4 linked regions of the Danio rerio genome follow. The protein of the gene in region 3 binds, or shares a complex with, the protein of the main gene of each other region. Links are inferred from orthologs where the notes say so. Each region holds a gene or a part of one and is shown on either strand. Other genes may lie near its edges.

Region 1 (3,946 bases), on a different chromosome or scaffold from region 3:
AACTGAGACTGTGCATCTGAGTGTTTAGCCTTTTGTGTTTAGCTGTCTTATTGGCTTTTTACTCCCATTTTCTTTAACAGAAAACTGGCGTAGCTGTGAAACTTCTGTCTTTTAATGAAAAAATACAAAACATCAGTAAGTTATTTTTGTTGAACTGTACATTGAGTGTACGGTATCATATAATGCACTTTTTTTACATTTTTTTAATTAAATTATAAATCATTTGTTGTTCATTGTACAGTGTGTTCTTTTTAATTCATTAGTTAATTCTTTTATTTAATTAAATTTTTTTCAAATGTACACTTCTCAAAGCACTGAAGTGGGTCAAATCTCTACCAGGGGTTTGCAAACTGGGCACAAAGTGGTCTGTGAAAATTTGGAGAAAATAAAATTGTAAATAAATTAAAATATTTAACGCAATTCATTAAAAAACAAATATATAATAACATTGAAATAAATAATAATGAATAATCAAAAATTTAGTATTTGAAATATTTTATGAAAAATATATAAATGCACATTGGCAGTAGAATAAGCTAATTTTGGAATGCCAATAGTTTGATTAAATTAAACATACATATTAGATTAAAATAAATAATAGATTATATTACTGCAAAGTAGTTTAATTTTTACAAAGAAAAATTAAGATTTCAATGAATAAATAGGATTAAAATATATTTTATTGTTAGAATTTTTATGATTAATACATAAACATGCATTCACATAAAATAAACAACAAAAAACTGGATTTAACTAGTCTTATTATAAAAATAAATACACATTTAATTAAATAAGACTCAGATAATCCTAAATCCTATTAAAATAAAATTATATAGTACTTCAAGAAACATACAAATGAAGAAAAATTAACTCAAAGTTGTATTAAAATGAGTGAAATAAAAAAATGGAAAGAAATAATATCCGCAGGAAAAAAATGTAATAATGTGACTTCAAGAAATTGCAGGTAATATTTTTGATCAATTTATAACGTTATTAGAAAACATCTTAATTGAATGAACGTTAGCGGTATATTTAGGACTTGTGGATCTTATTTGGGTTTTCGTGTCTGATAAAAAAAAACTGCTCTGGCCAAACGCTCAAGCGAATACGTTGTCATAGTAACTGTAATCCAACGTCATTTCCTTTGATTTAAAAAGCCTCGAGCCATCAGCAGTAGAAGTGTAGCCTGAGGTAAAGAAGTGTTGGAGATGAATTCTGCTCCCCCTCACCGCCGCCATCCAAACTGAGGTCCACCTCCACACGGGACAAAGGCCATTTTTTGTGTCACCTCAGTAAACACCGGGCGTTTGGATGTTATGGCCGAGTCGAACAGCGCAAGTTTCCCTCACTCGACACCGAACGGGTCCAGTCGCCACGAGAAGAGTTTGGGTCTCCTCACAGTCAAGTTCGTCACCCTGCTCCAGGAGGCCAAAGATGGGGTGCTCGACCTCAAAGTGGTGGGTTAAAACACATTTACGAGCCGAATGAATGAGTGACGAGAATGAATGAAAGTCGACAGGCTGCGGAGTTCAGTCAGGACGTACACAAAGAAACTCTCTCACCTGAGTGAACTTTCGCCGTAAACTGAGGCGTTTAGTAATAGAGTTATGCAGAAACATTAAAGCTCTGGTTCGAGGTTGATTAAAAGTGTTAAATGAAAGATCGAAATGTCGTGTCTTGTGTCAGGGGGGTTTGTACAGAAACCCATTTTTCTCTCACAGCAGGTGTTTGTTACCTGACGCTTGAGGCAGCAGAGGCGCAACATGTAAAAACATTGGAGAAAATTTTACTCAGCCTAAAACACCTGTTACTTTCCTCTAAAATGTACTAAATAAAGCACCTAAACGATATACAAATTTAATTTTGCAAATCTGTTTATATGTACAAATGAGATGTGCTTAACAGTGTGCGAATTATACATTGACATCTGGGGCGTCTGCTGTTAAGGTTAGTTTGTGCCATACATACTTCAGTCATTTATGTATTACATCTAGTTTGTTAATCAAACGTATTTAAGTTTTCAGCGTTTTGAGAGATATATTTTGTGTTTTCTGACCTATAGTATTCCCTGATTGGCTATTTCAAATGTCACTGTAGGTTAAACTACAAACTATGCATCTAATTTGATTTTATTTTCAGGCTAAATATAGACACAAACACCTATTTTACGACAAAACAAAGTCTTATGAACATGATGTCTGTTGGTGCTCCAGATCTGCCACTTTTTCCAAATAGTCTGATTGGTGCAATTATGCATTAACAATGGTTTGAATCATTATAGGGGTGGTTTATATTAAATATTATATTTATTACTAACATTAGTATTTAAAAAGCAAATCAGAGTGGAATATTTCTCAATATTAAAAAACTATTAAACTATTAATATTAAAAACTAATTAGGGGGGTCAATCCCCCCAAAGCCCCTTAAAATTTGCACCAGCAGGTTTGGGATCTGTTGTTTTGGTGTAGTTATTCATAGTCTTGTGATTTTCGTACATCAAAAATAAAAAAAAATCAAATTTTAATACATTCACTTTAGTTGCTGTGCTTTCATAATGAAAAATTACAATTTAGAAAAACTGCAAAGATAAATGTTTTTCATGCAGAAATGAGGTACAAGTGAAACTTTTTTGTGTGTTGTTTGCATGAGAAAATACATTTATTATCATTTGGTCATTTGATACAATTAGTTAACTTTAGTTTACAATTAGTTTTTTCTTATTAAATTGTTATTTTTATTTTTAAACAGTTATTTCACTTATTCATGATATCGGTTTGGATATGAGGTGGTATATATCAACACAAGCTATTTTGGGTCCCGCAAATAACCAATTCCTGTTTTCTAACTGCATGATTGCTTATAATGACATTGTGATTTATTTCCATAGGCTGCTGACAGTTTGGCTGTCAAACAAAAGAGGAGAATCTATGACATTACCAATGTCCTGGAAGGCATTGGACTCATTGAAAAAAAGACCAAAAACACCATTCAGTGGAAGTGAGTTCAAAGATTAAGATGTGCCACAAAGTGCTGATGGTACTGACGTATTGTATTTATGTATACAATATTTCTTTATGTAATTATGTGCATTTTTTTTAAATGTGTGCTAAATTTGCACCATGCATGCTCCTTTGCATCCATCTCCAAAGCAGTTGCTTTATCTTGTTTAGGGGGGAGAGTACAGGCTGCCAGCCTCAGGAGGTTCTTGAGCAGGTGGAACTTCTCAAGGCGAATATCGCTGATCTGGAGCTTCAGGAAAGAGAGCTGGACATGCAGAAAGCATGTCTGCAACAAAGCATCAAACAACTGAATGAAGACCCCTACAGCTGCAGATATCCTTACTGTCAGTAGGCGTTTCCATTAACCTTCAAATTATGCAAATTGCAAAACGCATCCAATGGAAATGTGTCCATTAAAAAAAACTCCTATATTGCAAAAAAGCTTTTGCGCTCACAGAAGGTGGTTTTTACGACAAGTCATAAAATGAATCTTTCATAAAACTAAAATGTAAACTTTTTTTTTTTTTTTTTTTTTTTTTTTTAAATACAGGTAACATGGAGTATGTAAAATGATTAATATTTATGGTTTGGTTGGCATATGATAGGATATGACATATGTGTTAATCCAGAAGTTGTTTAAATGTACTTTAATTAATTTTATTATGCAGAGGTTAGCAATGCAATAAAGGCATTTTGGGCATGAGAGGCTGTGGCACATTCACATCTACACCAGTTATCATACTGTTCATTTAGATTGCACAACTGTAACAGTAGGATATCATTCTAAACTGAAAAATGTCTATCAATCCAAGCAAAGTGCCTCTGAAAATAAACGCACTTTATATACGTAGACACACAAACACACATGCTTGTGCTCAATTCAAATTCAGTTATTCAAAAGTCAATTTTATTTAATTTTTTTACTTGTACAAACTATGTTAGTTCA
Region 2 (4,285 bases), on a different chromosome or scaffold from region 3:
AATTTTAAATCAATATAAATGCATATCTTTGAATTATTTAAATTAACTGATGCTTTTTTTATCCTCTCTCTGTAACATTATGGAAATTATTCAAAATAGTAGAGTAAAAATCAAGTAGACAGAAAAGCATTTGACTGATTTTTCTCATTGAAGCATAGTTTGTTGAGGGCTTTCTGAGGGACATGCCACACAAAGGTCAAATCAGCAGAAGGAATGTAATACATCTGAAACGAGTGTTCACCAATGGTCTGCAGTACTCGCTTTCAAATTGTGCGATGTTTCGATGCCCATTTTCATCTAGAAAATAACTGAAACACTTATCTTTCCTGTAATCCTGCCTGCGTGGATTAATGCTACATCTAGCAATTCTGTGATATAATATTACAGAGACACTGGGCAACAAGCCAGTTCTGTTTAAATATAGAGTGGGAATTCATTTGAGACTTACAGACTGAAATAAACGAATAGAACATAACAAATAAGTGTTTTTTCCACACAAGGATTCAGATGGATTTAGGCTCCAGACTACATATAATGAATTATTTGTTGTATTGTCTTTTTAACTCTATCCTAAATATCACAGCGGCAAAAAACATGAAAAATGTCTTTATGTATTAAAAGCTGGGTTTGTGTTTGTCAGTAAGTTTTATTCTTTTTCTAATATCGCCATCTAGTGGATGACTTACAATATACCGTAACTAGATAAACAGTGTGAACTAATGCACTATTTCTGAGTTGAGTAAGACATTACTTACACTCCTCCAAGCCCAACTGGTAAGCCAGATTCTGCAGACCCTTCACCTTTTCCATCAAATTTGCTGTGGTCAAACTTCCTAATTCTAAAAAAAAAAAAGCCACAACAAACAAGTTACAAAAAATAAAATAAAAATGGACCAGAACCGAAACAAAATATTATACTGTAGCTTTTATAAATTCCAGGGTTTCTGCAGGTTTCACAAAGTTAAATTTAAGACTTCAAGACATTTTCAAGACCCTTATGAATGAAATTTTAGACTCATAAAGGACTAATCGCTAAGGAATTTTTCATATGGCCCAGATGGAAAAGATTTTTCATTTGCCCCATCAAAAAACGATTATATATTAATAATACAATTATAATTTAATAATAAAAAAATAAATATTTTAGATATTTTTTATAAAAATATTCAAATATTGTTTAAAAACAAACAAGCTCTACTTGTATACATACACTTTATTTTTCCAACATAAACTTTCTTTACAATAAAAAATGAATTAATGTTTTTAAAGTTTTAATATAACTAAATCTATGCAAAACAATCTGTCCAGGTCGGTGTCCTCAGCAGCAAATACATGGAACACTTTTTAACAAATATTATGTATTTTGAGGAAAATAATAAAACTGTTATGGTAAACAGAGTTAAAAATCACCTTTTTATATAAAAGGTTTTATTGAGATGAATTGTTGGTGATCGTATAGGACTAATGGCCAGACTGCGTAGCGATACATAAACAAAGGAAAATTAAGACCTAATTTAAAAAAAATTTAATTTAACATTTAGGAACTACAACACAATATTTCAGTAAATTTAAGACATAAAAATGTAATTTTGAGGTTTAAGACATTTTACGACTTTTTAAGACCGCGCGGACACCCTGGAATTCACCAAGCAACTCATCTAACTATTATTAACCTATTCTACTAAGCAATATATAGAAAGCATAGATAAAAGACTAAATGATACATTAAAAGACTTGATATGAATACTACTTTAAAAAAGGCAGACCTTTCAACATTTCAATATCCTCTGACTCCAGTTCAGCCATCCATTTGGGTGGAGAATTTGTAATAGGCTGAAATAACAAAAACCAAGCCTTAATTTCACATCAACTTTGAAAAGTATTCATTATCATTTGAATATTTACTCACATTTTTAAAGGATGCTGCAAATTCTGACACACCCGGCACTGTTAAAAACAAAGCGTTCAAAAATATGACAATGTGTAATAATCAAATGTAATTTCTATATTTCAATCAGTGCATTTTTTTTTACATATATTTGGAAAAATATGTTAATGTGTCATAAATATTAGTCCAACTGAATAAGATTAGAGAGTCAAACTTACACTGCTCTGGCCACAGGTCAGGTGAAGCCCGGTCAAGATTTTCTAAACTTATCAGAGAAGATTCAAAGTCCTCACCTACACATTAAAAAGATAAATGCTCTATGGTCAGAGAAAACTCATCAGCAACAGGATCAATAAACCTGAAGTACAATAAAAAATGTTAAATATACACAATTTCAATTTTAACATAACTCAGCTTAGATGACGTTACAAAAAAAAATCTTCTGTCACATATTATTCAAGGTGTAAAATTAAGCTGATGTTATGACAGAGATATTATGTTTACTCAGCTGCTAAGTTACTCAAAGCTGAGCTAGCTGCATTGAGTAATCTTGTCACAAAATAATGAGTTACATAACTAACGTTAAAGATAAAATCACGACACACCAAAAGTAATATGTCTTCGCGTATTTACTACACTATTACATTCGTATTAAATTATTACTACACAACTGATGTCGTCTGACACGTAGCTTTGCTAATGACTGGCTCCAAACAATTTTATGACGCTATTCCGACTGAAAAGCTTATTTTGATTCAGAATCCATCAGTTCTTTATAAAAAATATGCTAAACCGCATAATGATTTATATGACTTAATTAGTCCGTTGCACTATTGCGTTAACAACTAACGCTGCCAGGGAAAAGAGGAATTAAAATTTACCTCCATTCGGAGACGCCATCTTGACAACAACACACGTGATTCTAAGCAGCCAATCACTGGAGGTCTTGGATAAAATAGCCACACCCTCTTATGTTGTAAAATGATGTCGCAATAATTGACTGAAAAATATGAATATAAATATTATTGACAGCACAAACCTTTTTGTTGACCAAACTCTTCTCAGTTCTATGTCAAACAAAGTGATTCTCTTTATTGTTAACAGTTCTCTGATCTCTTTAATGGTCTTTAATGGCCTTTTCTTGATATTGATCTTGGATGGTATTCGGAAAAAATACATATTTTTATCTAATAAAGCTGTTGAAGTCTCAATCAGAATCATTCATAATTGCTACCCAATAAACAACAAACTAGGTAAATTTAATAACAATATTTCCTTCAAATGCTCATTTTGTACTCAATATGGTGAAACACTAAATCTTTTTGGCCTATTTTGGGAGTGCACTTATTGTAAAGTCATTTGGGTTGACTTTTCCAATTTCACAAAAATTGTATTATTTCCAAACTTTTGTATTTCCCACAAAAAATTATATTCTTTAGATACTTTCTGAATTCTTGTAAATTTGTAATTAATTGTTTCCCCCCCCCTAAAATTTACATCGATAAATGTAAATTTTCAAAGAAACACCCTACTTTTTTATTTTAAGAAATTACTTTATATGTGAACTCTTTAAAAGACCCTAACAGTTATATTGCATGTAAAACACTTTCTTGGTGTAAATCATTTAAACTTGTTTAATTTGCTGGAATTTTAATTATGAATTCATTTCTGTCTATTTGTTTAAACTGTGTCTTTGATAACGTTCTTTCTTGCAAAATAAGTAAAAATATATATGAATAATATGCGAACATTAATATGTTTAGCTTTCATACAGAGTACTTGAGTAGTATTATGATAGTGTTAATATAATATAAGACTCAAGACTCAGTCAGGCCAAAAAACACAGCAGAACAAACTTCTGTACAGCTACAAAAAAGGCAGTAATTATAAATAGACCAAAAATAAAAATTATTGGTAAACATAAACAAGTCTAGTTTCAGCACATTTTAACGTATCATATCAATATTTTTAACAGAGTGTTCATTTTATTTATTTTAAAACACTAAAGAAACATCATTCATTCACTGTAGCATTATTACTTTGATCAACCCATTTTCAAATGCTTTGTACATAGCATTATACGAAAAGGCCCATTTAAAAGACATTAAAAAAGGGATGGTATTGTAAAACTGGTTGAAGAAATAACTATCAACACCTCTGTACAGATCATGTCTCTAAAAGACAGAAGGTCACTTTATTATACTTGGAAAAATAAAATAATTAGTAAAATTAAATAAGTAAAATTCAAGTATAAATACAGAGCTCTTACAATGTTGGTGATTAATGAAAAACATATATATTTTCAGTCAATTGAGCCAGAAAATGTGTTGGTATCAAATGCAACACAACCTAAATCCAAATAAATGCACCTGAGTCAGTCTGTTTACAATTTGCATT
Region 3 (3,949 bases):
TCCTGCATAGTTTAGCTCCAACTTTCCTTAACCCACCTGCCTGGAAGTTTCTAGTATACCTAGAAAGAGCTTGATTAGCTAGTTCAGGTGTGTTTAATTGGGGTTACACCTAAAAAATGGAGGAAACCGTCCCTCAAGGACCGGGTTTGGGCACCCTTGATGTACAGTATTTAATTCAAATAACTTCTTCAAATATACCCACCCAGAGACCTGAAAATGATAGTGACACTAAATGGTGACACCCTTTTTGAACACTTCTCCATTAGTTATCTGTATAAAACATACTGTATACAGTCCTGTCTGTGGGGGCAGCATGAATACTGATAAACATGTTACAGTCCTAAAACCAAAATGTGACCTAATGACTTAAAGTTTCAATTTTATATTTTATATAATGAGCAAATAAAATAGTCTAATTTATTATTTTGCTGATTTGTACATTATGATTTGTACTTCATAAATATTGACTTGTGCATAATACTAAACGCCTCTAAACGTATTTTATGTTGTTTTTTATACATCTTTTCTCAATTATTTAAAATGAAAACACAATTTATTAATCGTAACTTGGCTAACAAGCCAACAAATACACTTAAAGAGCTAAGAAAGAGTTTACCTTTTCCTTTTCATTTCCTAAATACAGTTAAATGGATACCAGTGCACTATTTTGCACCACAAACCTGTAATAAATTGATATGGTGTCTGTATCTAAGCTTAGGTTCAAATGTTTAGTACTTTTACAGTACTGAGATCTAAATAAATAAACAGGATGACTACCGTGCAAAGGGGAAGCGGTCTAATTGAAAATATAACCCGAGAAAGTGATATGAAAGCGGTAATTAGACATTTATACACTGGTAACAGATGTTCTTATTGTATTGGGTGGTATTAATAAACATATATTAGACATTTAATACACATGAACCATTTTTTATTCTCTTTATTTACATATATACCTACGCACGCTCCACCCTCAGACGCAGTGGGTGGAATCCAGTATAATCAACCAATGAGAACATGTCAACACAGCTTTTGTAGCGCTCCGTCTAATCAGAATTTAGCGCGGGCGTGTCTTTTGTAATACGTTTTTTCGACGTCACGAGCATCATCGTCCAATCGGGTTTCCCGTGGCGTCGACACCGCCAAGCTCAGTTTTACAGACCTAGAGAGGGAGCAGGTTCTACTGTGCGCTCCTATTCATTCTACGCTAGACAGTTGAAGGCGGATGCAACCGACCGTAAGTGAGACCAGGGGGGGCTCCGAGTCCACACAGACAGCTTTGAGCGATGTTTTCCGTTTTTATATATCACCAGTGCATAAAGAAGCTGTCTTTTATCTGCGCTTGTAATAATTTAACACAAAATAAGTGCGTTTGACAGCAAACTCGTTCTAAAACAACAGCGTGCGACTGTATGCAGTTGTACATCTGCTATCTGAGGCCGTTAGTCTGTTAACCATCAGTCCTGATTCATTATCATATAGGTGAAATATTAAAACTGTCTGTCTCAGATGGCTTGTGTTAGCCAACATGCTAAGCCATGTCAAGTGTTTCTGTCAGTGTAGTGCAATAGAAAATCGTCCCTGATCTTTACCGATCGTACAAAAAAGCATTGGCAGGCAAAACTGGACGTGTAATAAACAATAGTAAGGGGATCGTAGATTGATTATGATAAAGCTGTCGAGATGACCTCGATTTGAGTGGAAGTTAGCTTGACGTTACTAGCTCGCCTGGTCGCTAGCTTAACAGTTTTATTTTAATTCGCTTTAAAGCGTGTTTTAAAGACTTTTGAAACTAAAGAAACAGTTGTTATTGTTACTATCGCATAAGCACGAGGATTTTGTTCAATTAATAAGTAGTTTTTGACGACAGAAGGACCTGTCACCTCAGCTAGCATCACTGCATGTTGGCTTTGCTTTAGCAACCATGTAAAATGGCTGCCAGGCATTAAACCAAAACCATCCTGTTTGTTCAATTAGTTCATGAATGTTTGCAAATAATTATGTCCCATTATGAACGGCTATTTTCCGTTTTTAGAGTATAATCGGTTGTTTAACTTGTGTTGCTGTTGAAGCCAACGAATTCTGTGACCCTCCAGCTGAATAGGTGTTGTGACTGTCAACTGTGTTGCTTAATAATGTGGCCGTTTATATACATATATTTGCTTAAGATTATTCTTTATTAAACTCTATATAATATATATTGATAATTTTAGTTCTTTTATTTGGAATTATTTATAGGGATTTACAGTTTGCATGCGTCTTGTATGTGCATGCTTAAAACATCCGCATCCATTTTGAGGTTTATGAATGTGCCATGATCTAACAATCAAACATCTCCCAAGTGCAAGCTCGTTTCAAAAGCACGCTCATTCACCGCACATGGGTTTTTATTTTTCATATTATTTGATTTATTTTTGTTTCCTGTTTGAGAGATGGGCTTCAGACCTCCTCTTCCTCTGTCCTCTTGCTAACTGGCTATGCCAACAAAAACAGCACCTAAGAAGGCAAAGGGCTTCAGGACTGTAAGTTCAGAGGAAAGTTTACAGACTTCATTTCCAGATGGCCATTTAAGTCCGATTCGTTTGCAAAACGGTACGAGCACATGCACAATACCCGATCTGCTCGCATTTAAACACGAGAAGCACGTTTTGATCACAATTAGGACCAGGGTTCGTTGCAAAACGTGTTTGAAAGGCTGCTAGCTAACTGGGCTAACACGCTTTATAATAGTGCACACTGCTTCGATTGTGCATTATGTTTGGAGCGGAAAAAGTAAACGAATGAAGCAGATTATCGTTCTGCTTGATGCGTTTACACGCTTTTTTATTACTTGAGACACTTGATATTTTTGTATTTAAGGGCCCTTTCCTTTTGCAAGAAAAGTTACTCAAAACGACAGGAACTGTTGCATATGGATGTTTTTCAGGATATTGCACGAGGGGTTTGGGTGTAGGAGTTCGAGATTTGATGTTAAAGAGATGATACGATTCGTCGAGGTCTTTGTCTGGTAATAAAAGCTGCATGAGAGCTGGCGGGCCTCGTTTTCATCAACCATGACAGTGTTTCCAAACCTTGTGAGCGTCCTACCTAGACAGCATTTTAAAAATTGCGACTTCTTTAGCAAACACCGAATCGAACTAACTTTGAATTCACACAGTGCTTGAAAGTGTTTGGGTCTCATCTCAATACACTTGTGATGTTTTAATCCACATGTAAATAATATCATCAAGTAAAACATCTTGGCTAAACACTGCATTGAGATGTTAATATATAAACATTCGTGTAAACTTGTATTGTTTAGGCTTGTGCTAAAGATGTAAGGGTGTGTTCATTGACACTTGGTGGGTTTGGTTTGATTAGAATTATCTCTGGTGCAGTTGCTCTGTTGGATCATTTGAATAAGTGTGAACGCTGCCATGGTTGTGGACCAAACAAGCAGACCATCACTGCTGGAAAAATAGGTTTTGGCATGATTGCGATGCAACACAATATACTTCCTTGCAAACTAAAACATGTCACAATATGTGACCACAAAAAAGACAGTGCACTATCATACATATATTTTTAGAAGAAATACTGCTTCTTATGGTTGAGTACAGGTTTTGAAAAGGAGTCTTCTTGCAATCAAAGTTCTTAATGTCACAGTTTTGACTCCTTTAGCCTTCATGTTTTATAGGCTTTCCACTATAAGTGTGTTTAGCCCAGCACACAGCAATGTTTTGGATGTTCTCTTACAAAATATGTAATTTTTGTATTAAATGTTTATTTCTCTAACACTTTTACATTGTAGATTGTGTCAAAGCAGCTTAACATAGAAATTCTAGTAAATTGAAACCGTGTTAGTCTGGATTTCACATTTGAAGTTCAGTTCAGGGTGGTTTAAATTTTACTACTGAAAGTCCAAACACTGAAGAGCAAATCCATCAATGCACAGCTCCACAAGTCCCAA
Region 4 (4,270 bases), on a different chromosome or scaffold from region 3:
GATCGATTCTTCAACAACAAACACACTCTTACAGCATTTCAACTTTAATCAGACACTCAAATGTTCAATAGATCAAAGCATAAATAACATCTGATGTGCGTTTTCTGAATGCATGATAAACACACTTACAGGTAAAAATCCAGCGATGTATTTCCAGTCATTTGATCCAACATTCAGCACCAGTTTACGCAGCTTATCATCCTGGGATATGCCAATGAACATGAAATTAGAGATATGCAATATTTATTTATGTTTTAATGCCATATCAGCAGCATTCATGACAAAACCTAAACTAAAAATACAATATATAACAAGCAATCATATCAGTTTCTTCATAAACATTCATTGTACAAAAAACATCAACACTGAAAAGAGTCTCATACAATCATTTAGTCTAATTAATAAAAGTATGAGTCCCGGCTGGGTCAGTAGGCGGTTCTGTGTGGAGTTTGCATGTTCTCCCCATGTTAGTGTGGGTTTCCTCCAGGTGCTCCGGTTTCCCCTACAGTCCAAACACATGTGCTATAGAGGAATTGATGAACTACATTGGCCGAAGTGTACGAGTGTCTATCCAGACATGAACATGATGTGACATGATGTGTATACTCTGCGTAAAGGATTTTCTTTTCAATAACTGATATATTTTTTGGGGGGGATAGTTGGTTGGGCCAGTAGAAAGTATTGTTTTGTTTTATTTATTTCTACTGTTTGGACGCCACCCACGTCTCATCTCTCCAATTCTCTCATCTATCGGTTCAAACATTTGTTGACTGCAATTGTGAATATATTTTTGTAAATATTTATTATTGTTTAAATATCCATAATTTTGCATTTATTATTATCACTATATTTGTAAATAAACTCACTTTATTGCATTTAGTTAGTCTTGGCATTTTGTCCCTCACTTGTAAATATTGTGTTTGCTCATGTTTCACCCAAAATTAATGTTACTCTCCTTCCCCTTGACTGACCATCTTTAAGACTGTAACAATAAGTCACAATTTAAGAAAAAAACAACAACAAAAACACACTATTTATTGATGTGAAAAACATTAAAGATACTATTAAGTGACTGTTTTAAGTGAGGTAAAGTTGGCTTTATATATAGTTGCTCATTTTTTCAGTGACAACTTATGACATGCTCCCTATGTGGTTTATCATGGTACTTTGGATATTCAGTCTGAAATCAGATGTAAACATGAGTTTAAAACAACATTAGCACTATTTATTTGACTGTAAACAATGTTGTACTTTGATAGTCATTTGCTGCTGAGGTAAAGTTGGCTTTATATTCACAAATTCTGACTTTCTCCTTATTAATATAATTTCAGAAAAGTGTTCTTTGCTAATTCTAAATGATACAAATCTTATAAGCAGCGAGTGACTATCAAAGTACAACATTATTAAAAGTCAAATAAATAGTGCTAATGTTATTTTGAAGTCACATTTACATCTGATTTCAGGCTGAATATTCAAAGTACCATGGGAACTTATCGGAAGCATGTCACAAGCTATCACTAAAGGAAAGTAATTGAGGTAAAGTTGGTTTTATAAATCGCACATTCGTTAATTTAACTGTCTCTATATTGTTTACTACGCTTTTTTTTAAATATTCTATCAGAATTAGCATGCAAGTATGAGTTCAAAACAACATTAGCACTATTTAACTGACTGTAAACTATGATAAGCATTGGCTGCTAATATGATTTTCCTATTTATAATTTGCAAAGAACACTTTTCTGAAATGATATTATTAAGGAGAACGTCAGAAAATCCGAATATTAAACCAACTTTACCTCTATACGAATGTGTGAATATGAAACCTCAAAAATAACTTCACCCCAATATTGTTTAGATTCTGCAATTAGAGAATTGTGTTTACCTCCTCTTGTGTCCACTTGACTTTCACCTTCCCACAATCTCTCTGGTCAGCTACATCAGAGTCTGTGTCCTGGCATAAGGCCTCCTCCTCATCCTCACTGTAACACACACACATACACATACACGTTAAACAACACTGACCGCAGATCAGCAAACACTGTCTGACACCATTTATCAGGGCCTTGTGTTTGCTAAGCAATGTCTATTAACACCAAAGGGAAAAAAACAACACTTTTACTGCAGAAAAGTTCAGAAAATAATACTTTAACCCCCCTAAATGTGCTCAATAATTACATTAAAATACAATACACATTCAGAGCTAATATCTCGAGCTATTAGCAGCTCAGCTAACATTAACAACGCTTGTCATCAAAGTATAAAGCACTTTTCTCGGTCTTAAAGCTAAATGTACAACTTATAACAGTGTGTGATGCTGACTAACATTGTAAATCTGACTTTGTGCAAATCTTTATTATGCTAATATTATAGTAGTTCCGCGTTTATCAGCTCTCTTTGTGCTATTAGGCGGGGTTCAATGGATCATTCACAAACTTATTGTCAACAATCACCACATGCACAGGCAGAATACATTTCTAAGTCTCATTTTTAGCCCTAAAGTGAATCTCCATTACAGATGAACAATAAACATGTACGAATAATAAACTTAGTGTACTTACCCGCGCGCCCACCAAGACATTTCCCTGATGTTTGATCAAAATACGCCAATAATACAGACCTTTATGAGGACACTCTGAGTCTAGAACACACGCATAAACTCATGTGTGATGCTAATTAGACAGTCGATCAAATTAAGTAAAGAGTTTCATTGAAAAGCGCACAGGAGCTCGCAGCTAAACATCCACTGCTGCGCGCCCAAGTTCCTATCTCGCGCTTCTTTTTCTCGTCCATTCCCGCGAGTGACGTAAAGCCAACACAGGCTGAACGTCACGCACAAATGCGTGCGCGCGCGAAACACACACGGACGCGCATTTGGTCAAAGTATACACACGTAAATGTATTTTTATGTATTATAGATTTATCCCTTTAGTAGCCTACATCCTTAAGACTAAATTATATGTTAGCCCCAAAGTTAACAATATAACGAGTATTGTGAGCCTAATGTGAGGCTAATATAGAAGTTAGCCTTGAGGATGTAACGTTAGGCTAGTTCACCCCAAAATGAAAATGTACTCAACCTCAGATGGTTTATAACCTTTTATTAGTTCTGTTGAACACAAAAGAAGATATTATGACTTCCATATAGGATAAACAAATACTATATGAGTCATTGGTTACAGGTTTTCTGCTTTTGTGTTCGACAGAAGAAACTTGGATCCAGTTTAAGGGAGATAAACGATGATTTTGCGTGAACTGCCCATTCAATAGTCCTTTACTCGTATTTCTGACATTCCGTTTAAAAAACTTAACAACTAAAAGTCGTAAAAACACGATTTGACATGTCATAATTAAACATTAAACGTTTAAAGTATGACATTAAAGTATAAAATGAGTGTTGGTAAAATTATGAATATGTACCGGAAGATTCATTCAGATAGCGATTTTTGTTTTACAAAATGGCGATAAAACTCAGAGCTAGTAATTAATTACTAAACCCAAATCTTATTATTTGGTTTTTCATCTGCATTGAAATATAGATATGATCAAGCATTGTGATTATAGACGTGTTTAGAGTATTTATCCACTGAAAAGATCCCCTTTTCCCAAAAGCCTGAAGAGCTAATGAGCTAATCATGCTCAGCCATAAATACAAGCTGAGTCTAATTACCTCCACACTTTCCTAATGGACGCAGGACGGGACAGACCTGGTAAAACACACACTTATATAAATAATGTTGAAGTTTTAGTAATAATATTTGCTATAATAAGCTGCAAACACATTTAACAGAGCTCTTACTGGTGCAGGTATTGCTTAAAATGCTTGAAAGGTTTGAATTGTGCTGAGATTTGGGATAAATCTGATAATCTGATTATTTGCTTGATAATCGTAAAATGTTACTAAATGGATAATTAAATATTTGTTCTTGCATAAAGTGGAAACTCTGGGCTCTGCGAATGCACTTATGATGTCCACTTTTTTTATTTTTCTTAATTTTATTTTATTTGCACTCTTTGCCTATACATTGGGAGAAGACCATGGGGGATTACTGCTTTGAGTGGAAAAATGCATGAAATTAAAATTAATTTTCATTTAAGATCCAAATAAATTATTTAATAGAGTACATTACAGCATGTTTTGGTTAGTCTAGGGCAAACATGCCATCAAAAAAACTGTCCTTAGCGAATACTATAGCATCTGATGTAAAGTGAAGTATGAATATGTAAGAAAATTGTGTAATGTACACTTGTGACTTCTCAAATTCACCATGAA

What was found.
Region 1: the proteins of tfdp1a (region 3) and e2f5 are in contact, whole or in part, in a crystal structure (PDB 5TUV), measured with the Homo sapiens proteins. The link is inferred for Danio rerio from reciprocal best matches to the Homo sapiens genes TFDP1 and E2F5. Residues at the interface, in NP_009042.1 of Homo sapiens: Glu201, Cys202, Leu205, Glu208, Arg209, Arg212, Leu213, Arg215, Ile216, Lys219, Gln220, Leu223, Leu226, Ile227, Gln230, Phe233, Leu236, Val237, Arg239, Asn240, Arg241, Arg249, Pro253, Ser255, Val256, Ile257, His258, Leu259, Pro260, Phe261; in NP_001942.2 of Homo sapiens: Val126, Arg129, Leu130, Lys134, Glu136, Ile137, Leu140, Glu141, Glu144, Leu147, Asp148, Gln150, Lys151, Leu154, Gln155, Ser157, Ile158, Val161, Met162, Ile166, Asn167, Asn168, Arg169, Phe170, Ser171, Tyr172, Val173, Thr174, His175, Asp177.
Region 2: tfdp1a (region 3) and lin52 share a complex: the UniProt entries of both Homo sapiens proteins name them as parts of the DREAM complex. The link is inferred for Danio rerio from reciprocal best matches to the Homo sapiens genes TFDP1 and LIN52.
Region 4: tfdp1a (region 3) and mybl2b share a complex: the UniProt entries of both Homo sapiens proteins name them as parts of the DREAM complex. The link is inferred for Danio rerio from reciprocal best matches to the Homo sapiens genes TFDP1 and MYBL2.

The regions. Positions count from the first base shown.
Region 1 is NC_133177.1:34,650,591-34,654,536, reverse strand, and holds the start of e2f5 (transcription factor E2F5), read left to right. Parts: upstream 1-1,146; 5' UTR 1,147-1,316; coding exon 1,317-1,457; intron 1,458-2,888; coding exon 2,889-2,998; intron 2,999-3,171; coding exon 3,172-3,333; coding exon of another isoform or gene 3,334-3,352; exon of another isoform or gene 3,353-3,946.
Region 2 is NC_133192.1:33,276,441-33,280,725, forward strand, and holds the start of lin52 (protein lin-52 homolog), read right to left. Parts: upstream 2,801-4,285; 5' UTR 2,789-2,800; coding exon 2,770-2,788; intron 2,182-2,769; coding exon 2,107-2,181; intron 1,948-2,106; coding exon 1,910-1,947; intron 1,834-1,909; coding exon 1,767-1,833; intron 840-1,766; coding exon 756-839; intron 1-755.
Region 3 is NC_133184.1:36,642,039-36,645,987, forward strand, and holds the start of tfdp1a (transcription factor Dp-1a), read left to right. Parts: upstream 1-1,149; 5' UTR 1,150-1,237; exon of another isoform or gene 1,238-2,592; intron 2,593-3,949. UniProt on the Homo sapiens protein: Can stimulate E2F-dependent transcription.
Region 4 is NC_133186.1:1,629,030-1,633,299, reverse strand, and holds the start of mybl2b (v-myb avian myeloblastosis viral oncogene homolog-like 2b), read right to left. Parts: upstream 2,801-4,270; 5' UTR 2,579-2,800; coding exon 2,559-2,578; intron 1,980-2,558; coding exon 1,883-1,979; intron 202-1,882; coding exon 130-201; intron 9-129; coding exon 1-8. Other genes in the region: uncharacterized protein si:ch73-303b9.1, read left to right, coding at 3,683-3,707. UniProt on the Homo sapiens protein: Transcription factor involved in the regulation of cell survival, proliferation, and differentiation. Transactivates the expression of the CLU gene.